Notamacropus eugenii: one gene and its partners. The protein of the gene in region 1 binds, or shares a complex with, the protein of each later gene. Links are inferred from orthologs where the notes say so. Each region holds a gene or a part of one and is shown on either strand. Other genes may lie near its edges.

Region 1 (7,929 bases):
CCCCTATCATATGTAATTTCACAGACTCTCCATGCCTCCTCACCTCCACCAAGCCTCAGATCAATTCTAGCTTATTTCTTAGCTCAGTCCAAGTGCCACTTCCAACATGGAGCCTTGCCCCATTTCCCAAAGCTTCCAGTGCCTTCACCCACAAACATAGTGCCACCACTGTCTTATGTTTATATCACGTGTTATTTTGTATTTACTTATGTGCATACATGGTGTCTTCTCCAAAAACACTCAAGCTCCTTGAAGGCAAAGACGCCCTTTCTTTTGGACTCCACATCTTCATCCTTGAGCAATGTCTGCACATGATAGGAGTCAATGTGGTTCATTGACAGTTTGACAGCTGACTGGCAATGTTGATTGACAGCTTAAAAACACCAAATAAATGTCTAGTCTTCAGAATAAATTACCAAGTCAAACCAATGACTGAAAAGGAAAAGGAAAAGAAAACCCTGATGTTTCAGAAGAATTTCAGGGAACTGGGAATTCCAAAGAGGAAAAGTACTAGAGTACATATCCCACAGCCTGCCTCATTTATTATGGGGAAAAAAAATTCCCAAGAATCTAGGCCAAATCAATTATCATTGTCCCAAGGTTATCCTGGCTCATCTGCTTCCGTGGTGCACAGTACAGCAACCAGATTTGCTCTTATTCCAGTCAAAACTATCACAGTTTTCCAGTCTATAAAATACACTTCCCTTCTTCTTGATTTAAATTATTGTCTTCAACAACTTAGGTTATTCCACATATCCAACGAAGGGATGACTTTTCATTCAATGCTTCCCCCCAGAGTTTGAGTTAGCTGAGTTAAATTAGGGCATCTCCCTCCCACCATATTTAATAGAGTCCTGCCATATAACAGACCCTTGCTAGGTAGGATTGCTATAAAAGTCAGCCTCCAAACCAGAGAAATATAGTTTTCTCTTCCTTTAGAAAATTTCCAAGTCATCAATTCTAATAATCTCTGCAGCAGGATGTTTCTAAGAATGAAGGGGGGTGGGGGGAGAAAAAGATGTTGATATATGCAACACAAGGAATGCATCCTATTCCAGAATGTGCTCAACTGTATCTAAATTGTACCACTATTAACTACTGCTTCATATTGAGCTTGTCAAGGAGACCAATTGGCAGAGATCGCTGGAATTACAACTGCATATTGAGATTGTGAGGAGAAAAAAAATTATGTTCTACAAAAAAATTAAAAAGTTTCTTCTTGACACAGGTCTCATAGCACAACTAACGTTTAAGTAAGCTCTGTCCTCCAAAGAGAATAAAAACCTAACTGTGCTAGGACCAAACTTCAAGTTTGTTACATACTACTGAAACAGCTTGGGAAATATACCTTGAGAAAGTCCCTTTTAATTAACAAATCACTTTTTCCTGTTCGAACCAAGCACTTCCCTCCTATAAAAATGAAAGTAATTTTAATCTATCTTACAAAAATAACTACCGCTAGGAAACTCTAAAACAAAGCACCACAAAAAGGCTTTTCTCCCTCTCCAGACCACAGAAACTGTGTTATGATTATCAAGTAATAATATCTATCTTATAAAAATTTCTCATTACTTGAAATCAGGCAAGCCAAGAATTGGAAACAAAGGAACATACAAAAATAAACCACCCACCCTATTTCAAATGCAAAGTTGCAAGCTGACCAAAATAAACGGAACTCGTACGCACTAAGACCTCAAACAAGTTAGCTTTAAAGGGCACAGTACAAAAATCAGCAAAGGAAGGAATTGAGGGAGGGGGGAAGAGAAGGGTTGTCAACAGAAATCAGAAAAGGATTTGTGCTTGAAAGACAAGCAAATACAGTGCAATATCCTTTCATTTTCAAAGCATTTTCACATTTGTTAAAAAACAATTTCATGGCTCCAGTAGAATTAAAAAGTTTTCCCCACATTTCAGAAAAAAAAGATATTATACAACATAAGTTAAGGGGGATCGTGAGGAAGAAAGAGTAAGTCCCAACACGGAGTTAAAAGACAAGGAGGTGGCAAAGGAATACAACAAGGGGGCAAAACTGGCAGATGCAAAGACCTAAAAGAGCTGAGAGGTGTTTAGAGCTATTAATGGATGAAAATGAGGATGGGGGCGCGGGTGCAAATGGATGGGAAAGAATCCCAGGCTGCGACACCGGAACGCGGAGAAAAGAAAGGAGTGGGCGTGCTGGACAGGGACGGAGATGGGACAGGGACCAGCAGGGGACCGGGCGGCCGGTCCCTTCGGGGCAGTGGAAGAGCGGGAACCCGGGAAGGCCTCAGCTCCCAGGGGGCTCCAGGCCCAAGACTCTGCAGCCCCTGGAGGGGAAGGGTCCCCGGGCTGGCGGCTGCCCCTTCTCTTTAGAAACTTCCACCAGCCGCGGCTGGGCCGCCGCGCCCCGCCCCGCGCCGCAGCTCCTCCCCTCGGGCTGCACGAGGCCCCGGGGCCGCCGAGCCGGCTCCGGCCCCGCCGCAGGCCTCTCCAGCACCCGGCACCCCGCCCCCCGCGGCCGGCCCCGGCCCCCGCTCACCGATCGCTGCAGCTCCCCGAGCCAGAACGAGGCGCGCTCCTTGCCGCTGGGGTCCGGGTCGTGGTAGAGCGCTTGCACAGCCTGGTACACCAGCTGCAAACTCGGCTTCGTCTCTTCCATGGCGCCGGCTCCTGCTCTTCACACGCGGGGGCGCAGGCTCCTCGGGCTTCGCTGCTTCTCACTGCCTCGGCCACGGCCGCTCCCTGGCCGGCGCCATCTCCTCCTCCTCCTCGGCCGTTACCGGGGCGGGGGGTGTCCCGTGCAGGCTGCCCCCCTGGAAACAGGAGCCTGGTGGCGCTCGGGTTCCCTCTGTCTTCTGTGCCTGCGATCGGTGGCCGGCGTCACCATCGGGCTGTCCCCGAATCAGCCTGGGAGCCCGCGTGTTCTCTCCACCTCGCTCTCTCCCTCCCCCCTAGCTCCGGGATGCTCCAGCCCCAGCCGGCTCCCGCAAACCACAGAGCCTTCCAGCAGGAGAACCGCTCAACCCGGACCGGAAGCAGCGACACTGGTCCTTTAGCGCACTTCCGCCGGGGCCGCCGCAAGCCGTGCTCCCCGCCTTTCGGAGCCCCCTGGTACCGGAAGTGGCCCTCCCCGGCCAGAAACCGAAGAAGCGCGAAAGGAAGCGGTGTGTTCTGCCATTGAATTCCCGGGGCCTCCCGGGGGTGCGGGCCTCTAGAAGCCGGTGCTTTTTGGTCTTGGACGGAGACCTTTCCTCCTCCTGACATCTCGAGCCTGGGGTCCCTGCGGCGCCGCTTCCACGTGGGGTCCCCGGGGCTGCGTCTCGGCGCCGGGATCGATTCTCCTACCAGCCGGGGGCCACCTCCCTCCCTTGCTCTTCCTCCCCTCCCCCCGGTCGTTACGTCTTTATTTTCACTAACTTCTGGTTTCTTTGGTAATCCTCCGTATTTTATGAATCTAAAAACCCCAGACTGCCAAAGGAACCCTAGCACACAAAAAAGGTTAAAAGCCCCTGAATGCGATGGGCGATTTCCAAAGTCCTTCCATCGCCAAACGCCAGCATCCTGTGCTGTCCGCGCGCGTCCGGGTCTCCAGGTGCACCACGCGCCAGCCAGGACAAGGCCGGTGGGGCTGTGCGCTCCAGGTCACCATCTCTGCCGCGGCTGACGCCCCGTCTGGTGAATGGTGCCAAGGAGAGCGTTGGCCTTGGAGTCGAGAAGGACCCGCGACCTGGCCCCGGACAGTTGGTCACCGTGTCCCCTGGGCCGGTCCCTTTATCTCTGTCGGCTTCACTCCTGCCTTCTGCATCGTAGAGACAATGACCGCGCCCCGCTGACCGCTGACAGGACCGTGAGGATCGAATAAGAGAACATACGGAAAGTGCTGCTGGCCGGCCTCACTAGTGCCATGGGACTGAGAGCTGTCATTATCACTAATAGTATGATGATGACACACGCCCCGCGTGCATCCCTTGTTTCAGAATCAGCCCCCGCACCAGGCTGCACCCTTACCATCCGTGCGGTTCAGTGGAAGGAGGCCTGGATTTGGAGTCAGGACCTGGAGGCAAAATCCGACTGTCACTTCCTATCTCTGAAATGTTCATCCCACATGAGGGATGTGGGCTAGAAGACTTCTGAGGACCATTTTGTGATGACTTCCTTACTGCACGCCCTCCTATCCTTTTAACAGTTGGTAAAGGCTGCTGCCACACTTTGTAAATTCTGTGTATGTGTGGTTTCCTTCAACTAGAGTGTAAGTTCTACAACAATTAGTTTGTAATCTTTCATATGTGGCAGTGTTCTGCTTAAGGGCTCAACAATGCTTAAGGAGAATTTCTACTTTCTTTAGTACATGGACGCACAACAAGGCTACTAGGAGTAAAAACATGAAAAGGGAACACCAGCTTTTTGTGTATTTTCTACACCAGACCTACATCTTCAGGCACCGCTGACAGAAGTAATAGAAAATATAAAATTGTGTCATTGAGCTTATTTGCCAATTATTTATTTTTTAAAAAGTGATTCCAGACAGCAAAATGTAGCCCTCTCCTCCAATATGTCCCCTATGCATATATTATTGTACAAGACTATGATAAATACAACCACAGAAATAACTTTTCAACAATCCTTTTAGTATCAGAGTATAGAACAAGAAGACCTATGCTTGCCAAAGATACTCACAAGTCGGCTAGAGAATGGCCCACATAAAAGTGGTGCAGCAGATAGAAAGATGGAGTTGGAGTCAAGAACATCTGAATTCAAACCCTGCCTCAGACATTAGCTAGGTGCCCCTGGGCAAGTCACTTAAACCTCATCAGCCTCAGTTTCTTCTGTAAAATGAAGATAATAGCATTCATCTCACAGGGTTGTTGTGAAGGTCAAATGAAATAAGACATAAAGTACCTTGCAAACCTTAAAGTGCCTTGTAAATGTTAAAAGTTATTTCAAATAGAAGAACTCTACTGTAGATGGTGAAGGTCTCCAGGAAGATAAAACTAGTGGTAGCGTAAAGGATGGATTGGAGCAGTAGAAAGATTCGAAGAATGGAAGTGAGTTATAAGGCTATACAATAATGCATAAGATAAGGAAAAATTAGAATGTTAGTGGGGATTAAAAGTGAATAGTCAATAAACATTATGCCTGGCACCCTGCTAAGAGCTGGGGAAACAAATATGAAAAAATAAAGTCCCTACCTTCTGGGAACTTAAAATCCTAAAGAGGAAGAGGACACACAAAAGGAATCTGAATGGGGTGGGGGCAACTATCCAACATGGAGGTGTGGTGGAGAAGTCAACCAGGGAAGTCTCAAGCTAGAAATGAAATAGCTAGGCTGAGGTCTCCCGTTAAATGGAGGTTTGGAATTCATGGTCCTACCCTCCAATCAGAGAGGCAGAGGATAGTGATGAAGGGGAATGTCAAAGCTGATGAAATCTTAACATGATGATGAGGTTAATCCAATTATGAGCTTCCTAGGGTATGGGGAAGAAGTCCAAAGGCAGTGCAGTAAAAAACAGATATAGGAAATATTGTAGAGGAACCAATGAAACTCATTAATTGGTTTCAAGGAAATATAAAGTTATGACATTTTGAATTTAGGTGACTAGGTTCTCTATCCTAGTCATCACATAGAAATAAGGTTAGGAGGAAGAGCCTATTGAGCTTAAAGTGTGAGAAAGACAAGTCATTCTTATATAAGTTAGGATTCCACAAAATGTTGCAGTTTCAAGGTAATGTAAGATAACAAGCACTACCAACCAATCAGCTCTCAGGGGAAGAAGCTAGCCTAACCAAAAAGTTTCTGATAATGGGGCCCAGCCTGAAACTAGTTTAAACCTGTTGGGGTCAGTGACCATGAGAAAGCTTTTCTTCATAGTGCATGCTTAATAAACCTCATGCATATAAGCAGACACACCTCACACAAAATTATCCCTCCATTTTCTGATCGTGGAACATATGATGAGGGAGGGGTACATGCCTACACATGCTTAGGGGAAAACATACAGTGGGCATGTCTGGAAAATTGTGACCTGAAAGAGAACAGAACAATCTGTCCTCTGATGGGAGGATTTTGTTCTGAATTAACAGTATAAAACTTCTCTCCCTTCAGATTCAGCATTCCCTGTTCCTGGAAAAGGGTGGAGCCCGCTTCTGGCCAGAAACATCCAATTCCTCTGGATTCTTCTTTAATAAATTTTCCTTGATACTTGAGTTTCAGCATGTTTCTAACAAAAGTGACATTAGGAATTCAGCAAACCTTTGCTGAGCTCCTCCTGTTGGACATTATGTTTGGCTCAACAATTTTTTATTTTTGTGCATTATAACTTTGTGCTGGTATTTTATACCCTTACCTTTTATACCTCCTTGAGTGGAGGGACCATGATGTATCTAAACTTTTAATCACCTGCAGCACCTAGCACAGTGCTTTACATGAAGTAAAGGCTTAATAAAAGTTTTTTGTATTTGTTTTTATTGTATCTTCAGGTAAAATGGCCAGAAGGCACTTAGATAGGTATCTGTAGTATATCTAATGTAGTCTATCTAATATCTAATATTAGTATTATATTAATATCTAATATTATCTAATAGTTCCTTTTATGCCACCTACAAACATTCCCAGATCTTCCTCATCCTTCAAAACCCTTCACTACGCCTTACTATCTTTGCAATCTGTCATCCTGTATCTCCCCTCCCCTTCTAAGCTAAACTTGAAAAGGCTGTCTAGCCCCAGTTCCTCCACTTCCTTTCCTCTAATCTAGCTTCCAAACTCATCATTCAACTGAAATTACTTTCTCTAAAATTACCAACAATCTCATAAATTGCCAATTGAATTGTTTTTTCTCAGTCTTCACCCTGCTTGACATCTCCACAAATTTTGTTAGTCTTGCCTCCCCTCCCCCGCATGCAACTTGGATACTGAGTGTTTTGGGTTGTTTTGGGTTGTTTTGGGTTTTTTGGTCAAAACCTTCCCTTGATCTCTCTCTGCCTCTCTGAGCACTTCTCTGTGTCCTTTGTTAGATCTTCAACATCACATTCACTAGTTGTGAATGTCTTCCAAGGCTATCCTAATCCCATTTTTTACTCTATACTCTCTCACTTGATCTCATCAATATACTTGGATGCACAGCTTGTGTTTGTCCTTCTTTCTCAAAGAGGACCCTGACATCCAGATGATGACATGACTTGAGGTAACTTTGATTTGAGTTGAGGGAGGGTTGTGCAATGTCACCAACCTCACTTTCTTCTCTTGAGCCATCTGGGTCCAGAGGCCTGATATTCATCAGAATGACTAGAGATGGCCCAGGATGCACTGGGAGACCCTGGCCCTTTCAGGTCTAAGGTCTTATCACATTCTCACCTTGACTGAGATACACCCATTCAATGAAGAGGCTTCTTTAAGTAGTTACTCAAGGGATGGTCCCTTTAAAAAAATTCAAACTGGGAGGTTAAGGCCCTCAGGGTTCCTGGGTAAAAGAGAAATAGTTACTATTTAGTAATTACATTCACTCTGTACTAAGTGGGTGGGAAGTTGTTGACCAGTCTATGAGCTCCAAAGTGAATTGGGTTTAAGGCTTGGTTCAATGATCATCTCTGTGCATACGAGGGAGAGGATTCTGGGAAGATGACAGCGTAGGTCAGAAAACTTTTGGCTCTCCAAATTTCCTCCACAAAAAAAAAAGAATACTATAATATAAACAGAAATCAAGAAAAGTTGAGGTAAAGCAGTTGTCCTCCTAATACAATTTGAGAACACCCCAGGAAAGACACTACTTCCAGGGGTGGAAGTTTGATCTGAGTGAAATACAAACACTTCCAGGCCAACCCCTCAGAATCAACAAGTCCTGGGGGCAGCTAGGTTGGGAGGCAGCTTCAGCCTTGGGAACTTGCACTTCACAGACGAGTGTGGGTCAGAAGACTGAGTAGGAGAAGACTGAAGGACCTTCCACTGTTGAGAGA
Region 2 (7,102 bases), on another chromosome or scaffold:
AAAAAACCCAACATTGGAAAGCATAGGAATAGATGGACCTTTCCTTAAAATGACAAGTAGTGTATCTAAAACCATCAGTAAGTGTTTTCTGTAACAGGGATAATTTAGAAGGAAGAACAGGAGTGAAGCGAGGATGCTTAATAACACCATCATTATTTAGTATTGTATTAGAAATGCTAGCTATAACAATAAAAAGAAAAATAAATGAAAGGAATTGGAATAGGCAAAGAGGAAACAAAATGATCACTCTTTGCAGATGATATGATGTTATACTTAGAGAATCCTAGAGAATCAACTAAAAAACTAGTCAAAATAATTAACGACTTCCACAAAGTTGCAGAAAGCAAAATAAACCCACAGAAATCAACATTTCTATATATTACCAATGAAGTCCAGCAGGAAGACACAGAAAGAGAGATTCCATTTAAAATAACTATAGGCAATATAAAATACTTGGGAGTCTACCTTCCAGGACAAACCCAGGAACTAGATGAACATAATTACAAAGCACTTTTCACTTACATAATAAAATATACAATTTTATATATAATCATTTATATAATAGAATATAATAAAATAAGGTCAGATTTAAAAAACTGGAGAAATGTTCATGGCTCATGAGTAGGCTGAACCAATATAATAAAAATTATAATCTACCTAAATTAATTTGCTTATTTGTTGCCACATCAAACTAACAAAATTATTTTATGGAGCTAGAAAAAATAATAAAATTCATCTGGAAAAACAAAAAATCATGAATATCAAGAAAATCAATTTTTTAAAATGTGAAGGAAGGTCATATCTTAGCGTAGTAATCATCAAAACAACCTGGTACTGGCTAAGAAATAAGAGTGGTAGATCCGTGAAATAGATTAGATATACAATGTATAGTAATGAATGACCGTTGTAATCTACCGTTTGATAATCACAAAGATCCAAGCTTTTGGGACAAGAACTCACTATCTGACAAAAAGTGCTGGGAAAACTGGAAAGGTAGTTTGGCAGAAACTAGGTATAAACCAACATCTCACACTGTTTACCAAGAAAAGGTCAACATGGGTACATGATTTAGACATAAAGGATGATGATATAAGCAAATTAGGGGGCCATGGAATAGTTTTCCTATCATCTTTGGATAAGGAAAGAATTTATGACAAAACCAGAGATAGAGAATATTGCAGGAAGTAAAATGAATACTTTTGATTATTTTAAATTAAAAAGGTTTTTCACAAACAAATCCAATACAGCCAAGATTAGAAGGAAAGCAAATTTTTTATAACAAGTTTCTATGATAAAGGCCTCATTTCTCAACTATACAGAACTGAGTCAAACCATAAGAATATGAGTCACTCCCCAACTGACAAAGAGTCAAAAGACATGAGTGAACAGGTAGTCTTCAGAAGAAGAAATCAAAGCTATCTACAGTCATATAGAAATGCTCTAAATCACTATTGATTAGAGAAATGCAAATTAAACCAGCTCTGAAGTACCATCTCACGCCTCTCAGATTGGTTAATATGACAGAAAAGGAAAACGACAAATGTTGGAGGGGATATGGAAAAATTGGAACATCAATTCACTGTTGGTAGAGTTGTAAACTGATCCAACCATTCTGGACAGCAATTTGAAACTACACCTAATGTGTGCATATCTTTGACTCAGCAATGCTACTACTAGGTGTGTATCCCAAAGAGATTTGAAAAAATGAAAGAAAAAAAGAAAAAGGTAAAAGAACCTCTATGTACAAAAATATTTATAGTAGTTCTTTTTGTCATGGCAAAGAATTGGAAATTGAGGGGATGCCCGTCAACTGGAGAACTGTTGAACAAGTTGTGGTATATGATTGAGATGGAATACTATTGTGCTATAAGAAATGACAAACAGAATGGTTTCAGGAAAACCTAGAAAGACGTATATGAACTGATCCAAGAGAACCAAGCTACGGTACGAGAACATTGTACACAGCAATGGCAATCTTGTACAATGGTCACCTGTGAATGACTTAGCTATTGTCAGAAACGGAAGGATCCAAAACAATTTTGAAGGATTTATGATGAAAAATGCTATATACTTCCACTGAAAGAACTGAGTCTCAATGCAGGTCAAAACATACTTTTTTTAAAACTTTATTTTTCTTGTGTTTGTTTGTTTGTTTTTTTGGTCTGTGTTTTCTTTCGCAACATGGAAAAGGAAATATGGAAATATGTTTTGCATATCTGTACATGTATAATGTGTATCAAATCACCTGCTTTCTCAAGCTGGGGGGTAGAAATGGCAGGGACAGAAAGAATTTGGAACTTAAAATTTTAAAAAACAAATGTTAAGAATTATATTTACATGTAATTGGAAATGAAATACAAAAAATTTAAATTAAAATAAATTATCCCAAAAGAGAAAATTTTGTTTGAAATCATGAACATCCAAAAAAAGTGTTTTTAAATTAAATAAATGTAGTAACAAAGGTATCCTGTCTAATCTCCTGAAATTGTTTTTGCTTTTTCTGCTTATGTTTAAATGTTTTGTCTCCCCCTGCCCCTCTCTTGCATTTCTATAACTACCCACTAATCCCCTCCTCTCTTGTACAAGTGGTTGGTGATAACCACTCTGAGTATGGGACTGGCCCCCACTAGACAAATCTTCTTGAGTTTCTCCAGGTCCTCCATATAAATCACTGTTTTTATGGTTTAATAATATTTCATTACTTTCTTAAATCACAATTTGTACAGCTATTCTACAATTGAAGGGTAGTCTTATTTCCAATTTTTTTTTGTTATTATAAATATTTTTATGTAAACATTTTTGGTCCTTTTTTCTGACTTTGCCCTTTTTTGGGGTACAGGCCTAGTAGCAGCAGTAGTATCATTGGTCAAAAAGTATGTGTAGCTCAGGGACTTTGGGGGTATTGTTCCAAATTGCTTTTCAGAATGACTGGACCCACTCATAACTTCACCTACAGTGCATTAGTGTGCCTGTCCTATGGTAGTCCCTCCATCAGTTGCCATCTTCTATTTTTCTTTGCCAGTCTGATAGGTGTGAGGTGGGACTTCAGTGTTATCATAATTTATATTTCACTTACTAATGATTGGGAACATTCTTTTACCTAGTCATTTGAAAACTGACAAAACAAAAAATTGACTACTGGGAAACGGTTCCTATTCTTCTATTGTATCAATTCTCTCTATTTTTTAGGTGTTGGACTTTTGTTAGAAATATTTGCTATAAAGATCCCCCCTTCCCCCGGGTTAACAGCTACTCCAGAGGTTCCCAAACGTATTTGGCCTACTACTTTTCAAAAAAAATTACTCAGCACCCTCCTGAAAATTTACTTTCTTTAACCTTTTAACTTTTTTTTTGAAATTGGCATCACTTCCCAAAACACATAAATTTAATAACGTATTGTAAACTTGTGGGGTTCTTTCCTGCATTGAAATTTTGATGATGCAACATTGTATCATGTAACCTTATAGTATCATATTGTACACAAGTCATGTTCCTGTGGATGCATGCTGGACTTCCCAGCGGTGCAAAGCATGCTCCCCCGCCAACACTTGCTTCCTAAGGTCTTAGTGGACTTGACTGATAGGTTCTAACTTGCATTTTGTGTTTATTTGGAAAGTAACGTAATCACTAAGACCTGAACTCTGTTACACGACAGATAAAACTTGGACGAATGGTGTTTCAAAAGTTTCTTCTCCTCTTTCCTTATGTTCCCACCGCCCCCTTCTTTTTATTCCAGCCCCCCACTGCACCCCCCAACCTTTGGACTCTGGAGCCCAGGGTGCAAGTGACAGAGCTCTGCCCTGACCATTATTACCTGGACATCCAAGTCAACAAGGATTTATTAAGCTCCTACTATGTGCCAGGGCACAGCGCAAGGGGCAGTCCTGACCTCAAGAGCGAGAGACCATTTGGGGACTAGGTACAAACGAGGTATAGGTGGGTTAGGTCGGAGGAGGCCCGGGCGGGCTTCTGGCAGAAGGTGGCATTCTGAAGGCAGCCAGAAGCCGTGCCAGGGCCGGGTGGAGCGGGGCATCCCCGGGCGGAGGCCGGGCTCGGGCACAGCGTTCCCTGACTCGGGGGCACGTGCGTGTTGCCAACGTACAAACGTGGAATGGCTACAGTTGAGACGGAGCCTTAACGCTTTCGTGCACAAACGTGATCTCCGTTTATTCCCAGCTGCTGTCGCCACGCCCCCTGTGCCCAGGACTTGCTCAGGGTCACTCGGGCCGGATTAGCCCTGGGGGAGGGGCGGTCCCCGCGCGGATGCCCCCGCCTGTGCTGCAGAGGGAACCCCAGGGCTGCGGGTCATCCGCAGGTGCTGATCGCTTCCACCTGGCAGGGAGGGGATCACGGGCCAGACGAATAGGTAATGGAGAAGCGCTGTAGATAAAGTGGCGTCTTTAGTCGTTCCCGGGGGGCCCGAGAGTCACGGGGTGTGCGGGGGGGGCTCCCACCCGCGGTACGGAGCGCGGGGGATGCAGGGGTGGAAAGGGGGCTGGAGGCAGGAGGGGGTGCAGCCAATGAGAGCGTTCGGTGAGTGAGTGGATGTGGGGATGGAGAAGAGGGAAGGGTCCTGGATGACCCCTGGCGCGGGGACCGGGGTCACCGGTAACTGACGGGCATAGGGGTGGCTGTGCGGGCCGATGGGGGAGGAGGGGAGCACGGGGAGGGGGGTGATTGTGGGGCCGCGGCCCAGGAGGCGGATTGGCTGGGTTGGGGGAGGGGATCCCCTGGGGCCACGGAGCGTTGCCAGACTCGGGGCAGCCCCCGGGGGGAGTGGGAGTAATTAGCAGGTTGGGGGAGGCGTAACCCCGGAGCACTCGAGCGTGGGCGGGCTTTCCGGGAGGGGGTGGAGGGGTGGGGATATGGAGGAGCAGTGATTTCCCGTGGTGAGGGCTGGGGGCCGCGGAGGGCGGAGCTCGGACGTCTCTGGGCGGGGCGTCTGAGATGATTTTCCCGAGAGGGCGGGGCCCCGCGAGGGGGCGGGGCCCAGGCCTCCAAGATGGCAGGGGAGGCCTCCGTTTTCCCAGCAGCTCCTTTGTTCGGCCGCCGCAGTGCCGGAGGGAGAGCGCGCCAAACTGGGTCAGCCCCGCCTCTAGCTCCCAGAAAGGGGCGTGATTTTAGCCCCGCCTCCAATTCCTTTCCTGCCCCCCCCCCCCACCGCTCTTCGGCAGCCTGGGGTTAGAGGCCTCTTCAGCCGGAGGGGAGGGGGACTGCGGACGAGCGGCAGGCTAAGTCCCCACCAATCCCTTTACACATCCTCGGAGGAGCGGGGCGGGGCGGGAAGGGGGAGAGGGAGCTCGCCGAAGCTCATGAATATAAATCAGCGTCCGGCTTTGGTCCCCTTCGATTGGCCCTCTGGGCTCTGGGGGTGGGGCTAGAGGGCGTGGCTTCGTGGCGGCGTATATAAGGCTGAGCTCTTGGGCGCGCCGCTCATTTTCCCGTTAGGAGGCTCAGGTGGCTCTGGTCTGTCCGCTGATATCGCTTATCCTTCCCGCCCCATCCAACACACCGGTGAGGGAGCCCGCCCCCGGCCACTTGGTCGAGCCTGCGGAGCTGGCAGGGCCTGGGGTGGTCGGGGTCTGGGGGGGAGGGGAATCAAGGCAAGAGGGAGGAGAAGACGGGCGGCCCAGCGCCTGGGCGGAGAAGGGCCTAGGCACCGGCACGCCCCCCTGGGATACGGCTGTGGGCAGGACGGGTCGGCCCGCCAGGTCAGGGTGGGTTCGGTGGCGGCGGCCGACAGCCGAAGTAAGGGGCTGCTGCCGTTGCGGTGTCCCCAGGGGCCGCCGGGGCAGGCGAGTTCTCTGAGGCTTTGCCGCAAAATGGCGGCCGAGAATCTTGGCGGGCCGCTTAGTGAAATGGCGGGGACTGCCGGAGATGCCCGGATGGAATGGCGCAGGGAGGCGAGGCGGGGGCTCCTCACGCATGCGCAGAAGGAGGCGGCCGCTAGTGGGGGCTGGAGGAGGGAGGCGTTGGGCGCACTGCACCGCGAACGAGAGAGAGGGGCCCTGATTTAAGGGGAAGCCGGGCTGGGGGGCATCTAAGAATTAGTTCCTGCTTAGGACAGGGGCAGGCGCTCCGGGAGACTTGCGGGCCACGTGGTCGGCGGCCATCTTGATCTGGGCCGCGGGCTAGGCCCCGGAGTGGCCCGTTCCCAGACCCGGCCCGGCCCCAGCGGTGGGCGCCTGGGCCCCGGCGTGCCAAGGCCGCCGCTCCAAGCCATCCCGGGCCTGCCGGCTGCCCCGCCCACCCGGCCCCTAAGCAGCGACCCCGAGGTCAGTTGGTCAATTCCGGACCTGACGCCTCCTACAAAGTGGTCCTGGGGCTTCCTGTAAAAGATGTAAAAAGAAGGCTCTGTCCCGCGCACAGCACCTAACCCCAGGCTTAATGTTTTTTACTAGAGAACAGGCCCACAGAAGGAAGGGACTTGCCCCCAAGGTAGCGAGTGTCAGCCTTGGGGTTGGAATGGTGTGGGGAGAGTCTGAATTTGGGGTCCTGGCTCTTCGGTGATTTTAGGGGAGGCACTTCGGGAACCAGATTACGCATGTCAGAGGCCTCTTTGGGCTGTAAAACCTTTCCATGGGCTCCTGATTTTTAATTTCTTTGTTTTTTTCCCACCATACCATGTTAATCTCTCATGGGATCCTAGCTACCATCTTAGGAACAAGAAGGTACAACCAGGGTCATTTAGTTTATTCTCATTTGTTTTTGTCTTTTTTTTAGCACGTATATGACCCTTGACAAATTGCTTAATTTTTTCTGGGCATCAGTTTTCCCATATGTAAAATGAAAGTATTGAGTTTGTTGCTTGAAAAGCTCTTTCTAACCTTATAGTGTAAGATCTATCAGTGCTCTTTCATGCTTTGGGCGGGGTGTTATAAGGGAGAGAACTCTGTCCAGGCCCTGGGAGACTTTGCCTATTTTTAAAGTCCCTGTTCTGGTCTGAGGTTTTTTTTTTTTGTTTTGCCTTATCAAAGCTAGGAAAGGGCCCTTGATGTGACATTCTAATGAATGAATCCAAAGGAATTTAGGCATAGATCCCGGATTGAGAACCCTAGTTTTAAGTGAACTAGATCTACTTGTGTGTGCTTTTTTTATAAAA
Region 3 (7,112 bases), on another chromosome or scaffold:
AGTGAACCTTACTCTCATCAGAACTGGCTCAAACAGGGAATAACATATACATTCAATTGGGTATAGAAACTAATTTTAACCTACAGGAAAGTAGGAGGGGAAGGGGGATAAAAGGGGAGGTTGATAAAAGGGAGGCAGGTTGGGGGAGGGGGTAGTTAGAAGCAAAACACTTTTCAGGAAGGACGAGGTGAAAGGAGAGAGAGAATAGAATAAGCAATGCGGGGTGAAAGGATGGAGAGAAATACAGTTAGCAATAGCGACTGTGAACAAAAATTTGAAACAAGTTTTTCTGATAAAGGCCTCATTTTTCAAACATAAAGAGAACTGAGTCAAATTGATAAAAATAAGAGCCATTCCCCAATTGATAAATGATCAAAAAATGATCAGTTTTCAGATGAAGTAATCAAAGCTATCTATAGCCATATTAAAAATATTACTTGCTACTGATGGAGAAATGGAAATTAAAACAATTATGAGGCACTCCTCATAGCTATTAGACTGCCTAATAGGACAGAAAAGGTAAATGACAAATATTGGAGGGGATATGGGAAAAATGAAACATTAATATGCTGTCAGTAGAGTTGTAAACTGAGTCAACCATTCTGTAGCGCAATTTGGAACTATGTCCAAAGGGCTATAAAACCATGCACACCCTTTGACTTAGCAATACTAGGTCTGTATGCCAAAAGAGATAAAAACCAAAAAGGACCCATATCTACAAAAATATTTATAGCAGCTCTCTTCTTGAGGCAAAGAATTGGAAATTGAGGGGATGCTCACCAATTGGGGAATGGCTAAATAAGTTGTGGCATACAATTATGATGGAATAGTATTGTACTACAAGAAATGATGAGCGGGATACTCTCAGAAAAACTTGGAAAAGACTCACATGAGCTGATCCAAAGTGAAATGTACTGTGTACAAAGTGGCAGCAATATTGTAAGATGATCAGCTTATAACTTAAGATACATATATATATGTGTGTATATATATATATGTGTATATAAGATAACTTAGCTATTCTTAGCAATACAATGATCCAAGACAATTCTGAAGAACTTATGATGAAGGATGCTCTCCATCCCCAGAGAAAGAACTGATGTGCCTGAATACAGATTGAAGCATACTTTTTTTAACTTTCTTCTTGAGGTTTTTTTCTCTGTGATTTCTTTTACAACATGATTATTATGAAAATGTTGTGCATGACTGCACATGTATAACCTATGTTGAATTGCTTGCCTTCTCAACGGGGCGGGGGGGGGGGGCTGGGGGTGGAGAAGGAAGCGGGGAGAGAATTTGGGACCAAAAGTTTTAAAAACAAAAGTGAACTGGGGAAAAATAAAAATGAATGAAATGAATGAATGAATGAAAAATAAAATGAATACAAATTTAAATAAAAAGCCATCCTAGAATTCCTCACTATCTCTAACCTCCACTATCCTCATATACCACATCCCCCAACCTCCCCTCTTGACTCTGCCCTGTATCAATGTGTTGCCAAAGCTTGTCAATTTGACCTTTGCAACATTTCTTGAATATTTCCCCCTCTCTCCTCAGACACAACCACTATTCTAGTGCAGGCCCTCATCACTTGATACCTGGACTATTGCAACAGTGGGTCAGCGTGCCTCAAATCTCTCCCCAGCTCATTCATTCTCCATTCAGCAACTCAAGTGAATTGCCTAAAACACAGGTCTGACCATACCATCCCTCTCTACTCAATAAATTCCAGTGGTTCCCTATCACTTCCAGAAGCCTCTGGTTGGTGTTCAAAGCCCTCCATAACCCTAGACCCCCTCCGACCCTTCCAGTCTTCTTATACCTTACTAACAAGTACAATTACTCTTCAAAGGATCCAGTGATACAGACTTCCTTGCTATTTCCAGAAAGAGACACTCCATCTCAGCACCAGGCAATCTCTTTGTCTCCCATGACTGCAATGCTTTTCCTCCTCCACTCAGATGACCGATCTCCCTGGCTCCTTTAAGTTCCTACTAAAATTCCACTTTCTACAGGAAGCCTTCCATTTGTCCTGCATATAGCTTGCTTTGGGTATATATATATATATATATATATATATATATATATATATATATATATATATATATATATATATATATATATATATATGTGTGTGTGTGTGTATATATGTATATGTATATGTATGTATACATATATATAATATATATTTGTCTGTAAGGTGTCTCTCCAATTATAAACTTCTTGAGGGCAAGGTCTCTTTTTGCATCCTCAGCACTTAGCACAGAGCTTGGAACACAGTAAGCACTGAAATGTTTTTTGATTGTCAAGTTATTCTATTTCTACTCCCTTTCATAGGCGAATTTATAGGAAAAGTTGTCTACATTCATTGCCTCCTCTTCTCTTACTCGTTTCTCACCACCCTTCAGTTTGGATTCCAAATTTATCATTCAACTGAAACTTGCTCTCCAGTTACCAACCATCTCTTAAGTGTCCACTCAAATGGCCTTTTCTCCGTCCTCATCATTCTTGATCTCCATCCTTTTCTCTTTGGGTTTTTATGCACTGCTGTATCTCCCTTTTCCTCTTACCTGTTAGATTCTTCCTCAGTCTCCTTTGCTTGATCATCATCAATGTCATAGGATTATAGATATAAATGGGGCTGAGAGGTCATTGATTCCAACCCCTTCATTTTTCAGAGGAGAAAACTGAGTCTGAGAAACATAATATTAAGTAGCATTTAAATGGTGTTTTAATGTTTGCAAAACCTTTTACAGATATTCTTATCATGTTTATCCTCACAACAACTATGGGAGTAAGTGCTATTATTATCCTCATTTTTCAGATGAAGAAACTGAGGCCCACAGAGGTTAAGTGTATTTATCAGGGTCACAGAGCTAGTAGGGCCTTTCAAACTCCAGACCCAATGCTCTCTCTCCTGTGCTACCTAGTTACCCGAGGTTAAGTAATTTGCCCAATGTCACACAGTTAATAAGTATCTGGTGGCAAAATTTAAATTCAGGATTTAGTAACTCCAAATGCAGTTCTCTGTCCATCAAGTTTACTATGGGTATACCTCAAGGCTTTATCCTGGGTCCTCACCTTTTCTATAGCTATACACTCTTTTGGTTATCTCATTGACTTCCATGAGTTTAATTAAGATAATATCTTTGAAGATAACTCTGGGCCAAACCTTACTGAGCTCTGGCCTTTCATTCCCAACTGCTTGCTCCACATTTCCAGTGTATGATTTGTAGACTTCTCAAATGCAACATGTCTAAAACAACATCCATCTTTGTCTCCAAACCTACTCCTCTTCCAAACTTTCCTCTTTCTTTAAAATGGACTAGCATCTTTCTAATCACTCAGGTTTCTGACCTCAGTTATTCTTCAGGTTTCACTTCCTTCTCACCTGGAATATTAAAAGACTTGCCAAAGCTTCTTGTCTCCAAAACATCCTTCTTATTATTCTTTTTTCTTCATTCCCATGGCCACCATCCCTTGTCTGGGCTACTGCAGTAGCTTCCTAAGTGTTCTGTTTCAAATCTCTAAATGACCCATCCTCCGCAGAGCTGCCCAATTGATATTCCCAATGCATGAGTCTGACCATGTCATCTCCACCCCTGCTATAAAAAGCTCCAGTGTTTCCAGCACAAAATACAAACCGCCTTTATTTGGCATTTAAAACCCTTCATCACTTAGCTCAGGCAGGTAGAAGGATAGACTCATCTTTAAGTTCAAATCCGGCCTCAGACACTTATTAGCTATGTGACCCTGGGCAAGTCATTTAATTCTGTTTGTCTCAGTTTCCTCATCTGTAGAATAAACGGAGAAGGAGATGACAAACCCCTCCAGTATCTTTGCCAAGAAAACCCCCCAAAACCATCTAGTTCTAATCAACCTTTCCAGATTTATGACATCATACAATCTGTGTTCCTGCCAGTCTACTTGCTCTTTCTCATCCATGATAATCCATTTTCCATCTCTATGGTTTTTTGCTGGCTCTTCTCTGTGCCTGAAATGTTCTCCTTCCTCATCTCTACCTCTAACAATCCCTTGTTTCCTTCAAGGGTTAGTTCAAGTGCCCCCTTCTAAAGTCGAGTTTTTCGAAGCTGTCATCCCACCCTGCTGCTATTACTGGGGCTTTGCTAAAATTATTTTGTAGCAATTATACACACACATATGTATGTATATGTGTATATGTGTTTATATACACATACTTCATGTTTACGAATGTGTGTATGTGCCTTTTCTCTTTAGTAGAAGCTAAGGTCCTCGACATCAAGAACTGTTTCTTTTTTTGTCTTTACATCACATTGCTGTTCAGTTGTTTCTCTTTTGTGATGCTATTTACAGATTTTGGGAATTTAATGTTGTGGTTTGCTATTTCCTTCTCTAGCTCATTTTACAGATGAAGAAAGCGAGGCACACAAGTTAAGTGACTTGCCCAAGGTCATACGGCTAATAAGGGTCTGAGGCCAGATTTGAACTCAGGAAGATAAGTCTTTTTCTTGACTTCAGGCCTAGCACTCTATCCCATGAGCAACCTAGTAGAGTTGCTTATATACTTAGCATTTAGTAAAGTACATGTTAATTAGTGCTTAATAAATGCTTGAATGACTGATGAGTTGCCAAAATGCTGTAGGGTGTTTCCTCACTGGTACTTACCTACAGAAATTACGTTATAGAAAAAACAATTCCCTCTTTGTATCATTCATCACATCCCTGACAGGGCAGTGATTTTTCCCATATAAAAATAACTTAAAAGGGGAAGGGGTAGCATAGTAACAGCTAGTGTCCGCCCTCCAGATTAATTCCAATTTATATTATGCCTATCTAGTTATTTACTTGTTGTTCCTGGCTCCACTCACATTAGATTGTAAACTCCCTGAGGGCAAGGATTATTTTTTCTTTACCTTTCTTTGTACTTAACCAGCCGACATATTGGTACTTTGGCTGTTCACCTTTCTGAGCTAGTTTCAGCATTTGTAATTAGCGGTGAGACTGGTCTCCACCCACAGTTTAGCACTGAAAGGGTCACAAATGGAAAAAGTTTAAGAAGTCCAGAACTAGATGACATCTAAGGCCCTTCCAAGTTTCCTATTTTTTGTTCTATATTTGGGGAGAAAGGTTGGAAAGCTACAAAAACTACCTCACTCAAGGATGGGAAAGCTGGCTAGCATTTCATAAATGTAAAGTCAACGTCCAACCCGGTTTTACAGATGGAGAAACTGAAGAGGTCAGAGGATGGGGAAGTAAAGCAACTTCAAGGTCTCTGTTCCAGGACTTACAGGCAAGTCTCCTGAATCTTAAAAAATCTTGTACTCTTTGAAAAAACACCAAACATGAAGTGTCTACTATATAATGAGCACTGGAGTTGGAGGGAAAAACTGAGCTACCTAGCTCTAAATTTCAACTCCCTATAGGCTGAAAGTGTTTTTTAATTATAAATGTTTTCTAGTCACAGTCATGAACGCAAAAAAATAATTAAATGACAATGTGTTGTCAAACTAAAGATTATCATGGCCACACACTTTTCATTAGAAAGTCTCGTTACATACTTAACACCAAGTCAGATGAAAATAATTTTTTATAATTAATAATAATAATATTTTTAACTCCCCCCCAATTATTTTAAGATCTTTTTACTGAAGGTCTCTGCTAATAAATCTACCTGAATTCCCTTTTTTCTCAATGACATGTAAAAATAACTTTTTTTTAAACATTTCGAGTTCCAAATTCTCTCCCTCTCTTCCCTCCTCTAAGTACATACACTGTCAAGCAAATGTGTTTTTCACGTAAATGTGCAGATTTTTTTAAGTTCCCAGGTAACAGCAAAAAATAGGTAGAAGAGGGTTCTGCCCTCAAGAAGCTTACGTTCGTCATCCCCTTATATACTAGCAAATCAACCTATTTGCGTAGGTGGGTGGGCAAAGCAGTTGGCGGCCAGGTGGGTTCGTGCCACACCTCCAGCTGCGTAATGACGTCAACGTGAAACACGCAAAGAGAGTCCGGCAAAGCCCCCTTCTGAGCTAGGAAATTGCCACGCGGCCCCCATTAAAGACTCCGCACGCACCTCTGCACACGCATCTCCGCCCCCAGACCGCGGCGCCGACTTGAAGCTCCAGTCCCCGCCCACTCCCCACCCCTGCCGCTTTACTCCACTTTTGTCCCCGCCCCTCAGCGTTTTCCCGCCAAGGGCCGTTACTGCCGCGCGGAATTGTGGGCCGGTGCTGCCCGCTGCCGGGTCTATTTCAGTCCTCCCCGAGGCGCCAAACCGCCCAGCAGACGCGGCTTCCTCAGTCCCGAGAAGAACGACTTGGCCCGACGTAAACTAGTAGCCCCCCACTAAGGATAACACCTGTCGGTGTTTTCATCCTACTACTGGGTTTTGCCACGCGGAAGTTCGACGACTCGATATATCCTACCGGCGCGGGACTTTTTTTTTTTTAAGTTCTCCTGTCGCCGCGGAGGGTGACGCCGGACGCGCGTGCGCAACGAACCCCGTAGAGGTGCCCGTTGCGTTCCTGCGCGTGCGCAGCGTGTCCGCGAGTCCGCCTGCTGTCTCCCCTCCCCCGTATCCGTGCGCGGAGCAGGCAGATAAGGGCGCCATTTTGGAGCAGCCGCGGGAGACGTGGTGTAGCTTGCAGGGCTTCCTCCGCTGTGTGTTTGTAGGGTGGGGGAGGGAACTCGGGCTCTCTAGTCCGCGCCTTTCTTCGTCGTCGCTACCGCCATGTCGGGAGGAGGAGTGATCCGCGGCCCGGCTGGGAACAACGATTGCCGCATCTATGTGGGCAACCTTCCCCCGGATATCCGCACCAAGGACATAGAGGACGTGTTCTACAAGTACGGCGCCATCCGCGACATAGATCTTAAGAACCGTCGCGGAGGGCCCCCCTTCGCCTTTGTGGAGTTCGAGGACCCGCGGTGAGGAGGCCCGGGACGGAGCTGGCTGGGGAGGGGTGCTGGAGCGCGCGGGCCCGCCCTGCAGACTGTGAAGAGGGAGAGCCGGGGCCTGCGCTGAGAAAACAGACGCGTGGTGGCGGACAGGCAGAGGGGAGCAGTCCGAAAGCCCTGGGGACAGCAAGGAGCGCCTACCCGTTCCTGGCTGGCTGCCCTGGGCCCCCCTAGGT

What was found.
Region 2: the proteins of TNPO3 (region 1) and CIRBP are in contact, whole or in part, in a crystal structure (PDB 8CMK), measured with the Homo sapiens proteins. The link is inferred for Notamacropus eugenii from reciprocal best matches to the Homo sapiens genes TNPO3 and CIRBP. Residues at the interface, in NP_036602.1 of Homo sapiens: Arg620, Glu660, Arg661, Cys663, Arg664, Arg667, Phe668, Arg671, Ser698, Cys699, Tyr702, Ser705, Ile706, Asp709, Glu710, Asp747, Asp750, Asp751, Arg754, Arg758; in NP_001271.1 of Homo sapiens: Tyr160, Arg161, Ser163, Tyr164, Asp165, Ser166, Tyr167, Ala168.
Region 3: the proteins of TNPO3 (region 1) and SRSF1 are in contact, whole or in part, in a crystal structure (PDB 4C0O), measured with the Homo sapiens proteins. The link is inferred for Notamacropus eugenii from reciprocal best matches to the Homo sapiens genes TNPO3 and SRSF1. Residues at the interface, in NP_036602.1 of Homo sapiens: His155, Arg157, Arg160, Thr167, Tyr254, Ile256, Glu257, Glu304, Glu340, Ile341, Phe343, Asn344, Tyr347, Arg348, Glu351, His352, Lys355, Thr356, Arg620, Asn656, Glu660, Arg661, Arg664, Arg667, Phe668, Arg671, Ser698, Cys699, Tyr702, Ile706; in NP_008855.1 of Homo sapiens: Ser116, Arg117, Arg118, Ser133, Trp134, Gln135, Lys138, Asp139, Arg142, Glu143, Gly145, Asp146, Cys148, Tyr149, Ala150, Asp151, Val152, Tyr153, Arg154, Val172, Arg173, Asp176, Asn177, Arg181, His183, Tyr189, Ile190, Arg191, Arg198, Pro200.

What each region holds. Positions count from the first base shown.
Region 1 is NC_092874.1:121,047,930-121,055,858, reverse strand, and holds the start of TNPO3 (transportin-3), read right to left. Parts: upstream 3,025-7,929; 5' UTR 2,639-3,024; coding exon 2,519-2,638; intron 1-2,518. UniProt on the Homo sapiens protein: Importin, which transports target proteins into the nucleus. Specifically mediates the nuclear import of splicing factor serine/arginine (SR) proteins, such as RBM4, SFRS1 and SFRS2, by recognizing phosphorylated SR domains.
Region 2 is NC_092875.1:62,242,189-62,249,290, forward strand, and holds the start of CIRBP (cold-inducible RNA-binding protein), read left to right. Parts: upstream 1-4,100; 5' UTR 4,101-4,366; intron 4,367-5,288; exon of another isoform or gene 5,289-5,514; intron 5,515-7,102. UniProt on the Homo sapiens protein: Cold-inducible mRNA binding protein that plays a protective role in the genotoxic stress response by stabilizing transcripts of genes involved in cell survival. Acts as a translational activator.
Region 3 is NC_092873.1:370,374,868-370,381,979, reverse strand, and holds the start of SRSF1 (serine/arginine-rich splicing factor 1), read left to right. Parts: upstream 1-4,110; 5' UTR 4,111-6,712; coding exon 6,713-6,906; intron 6,907-7,112. UniProt on the Homo sapiens protein: Plays a role in preventing exon skipping, ensuring the accuracy of splicing and regulating alternative splicing.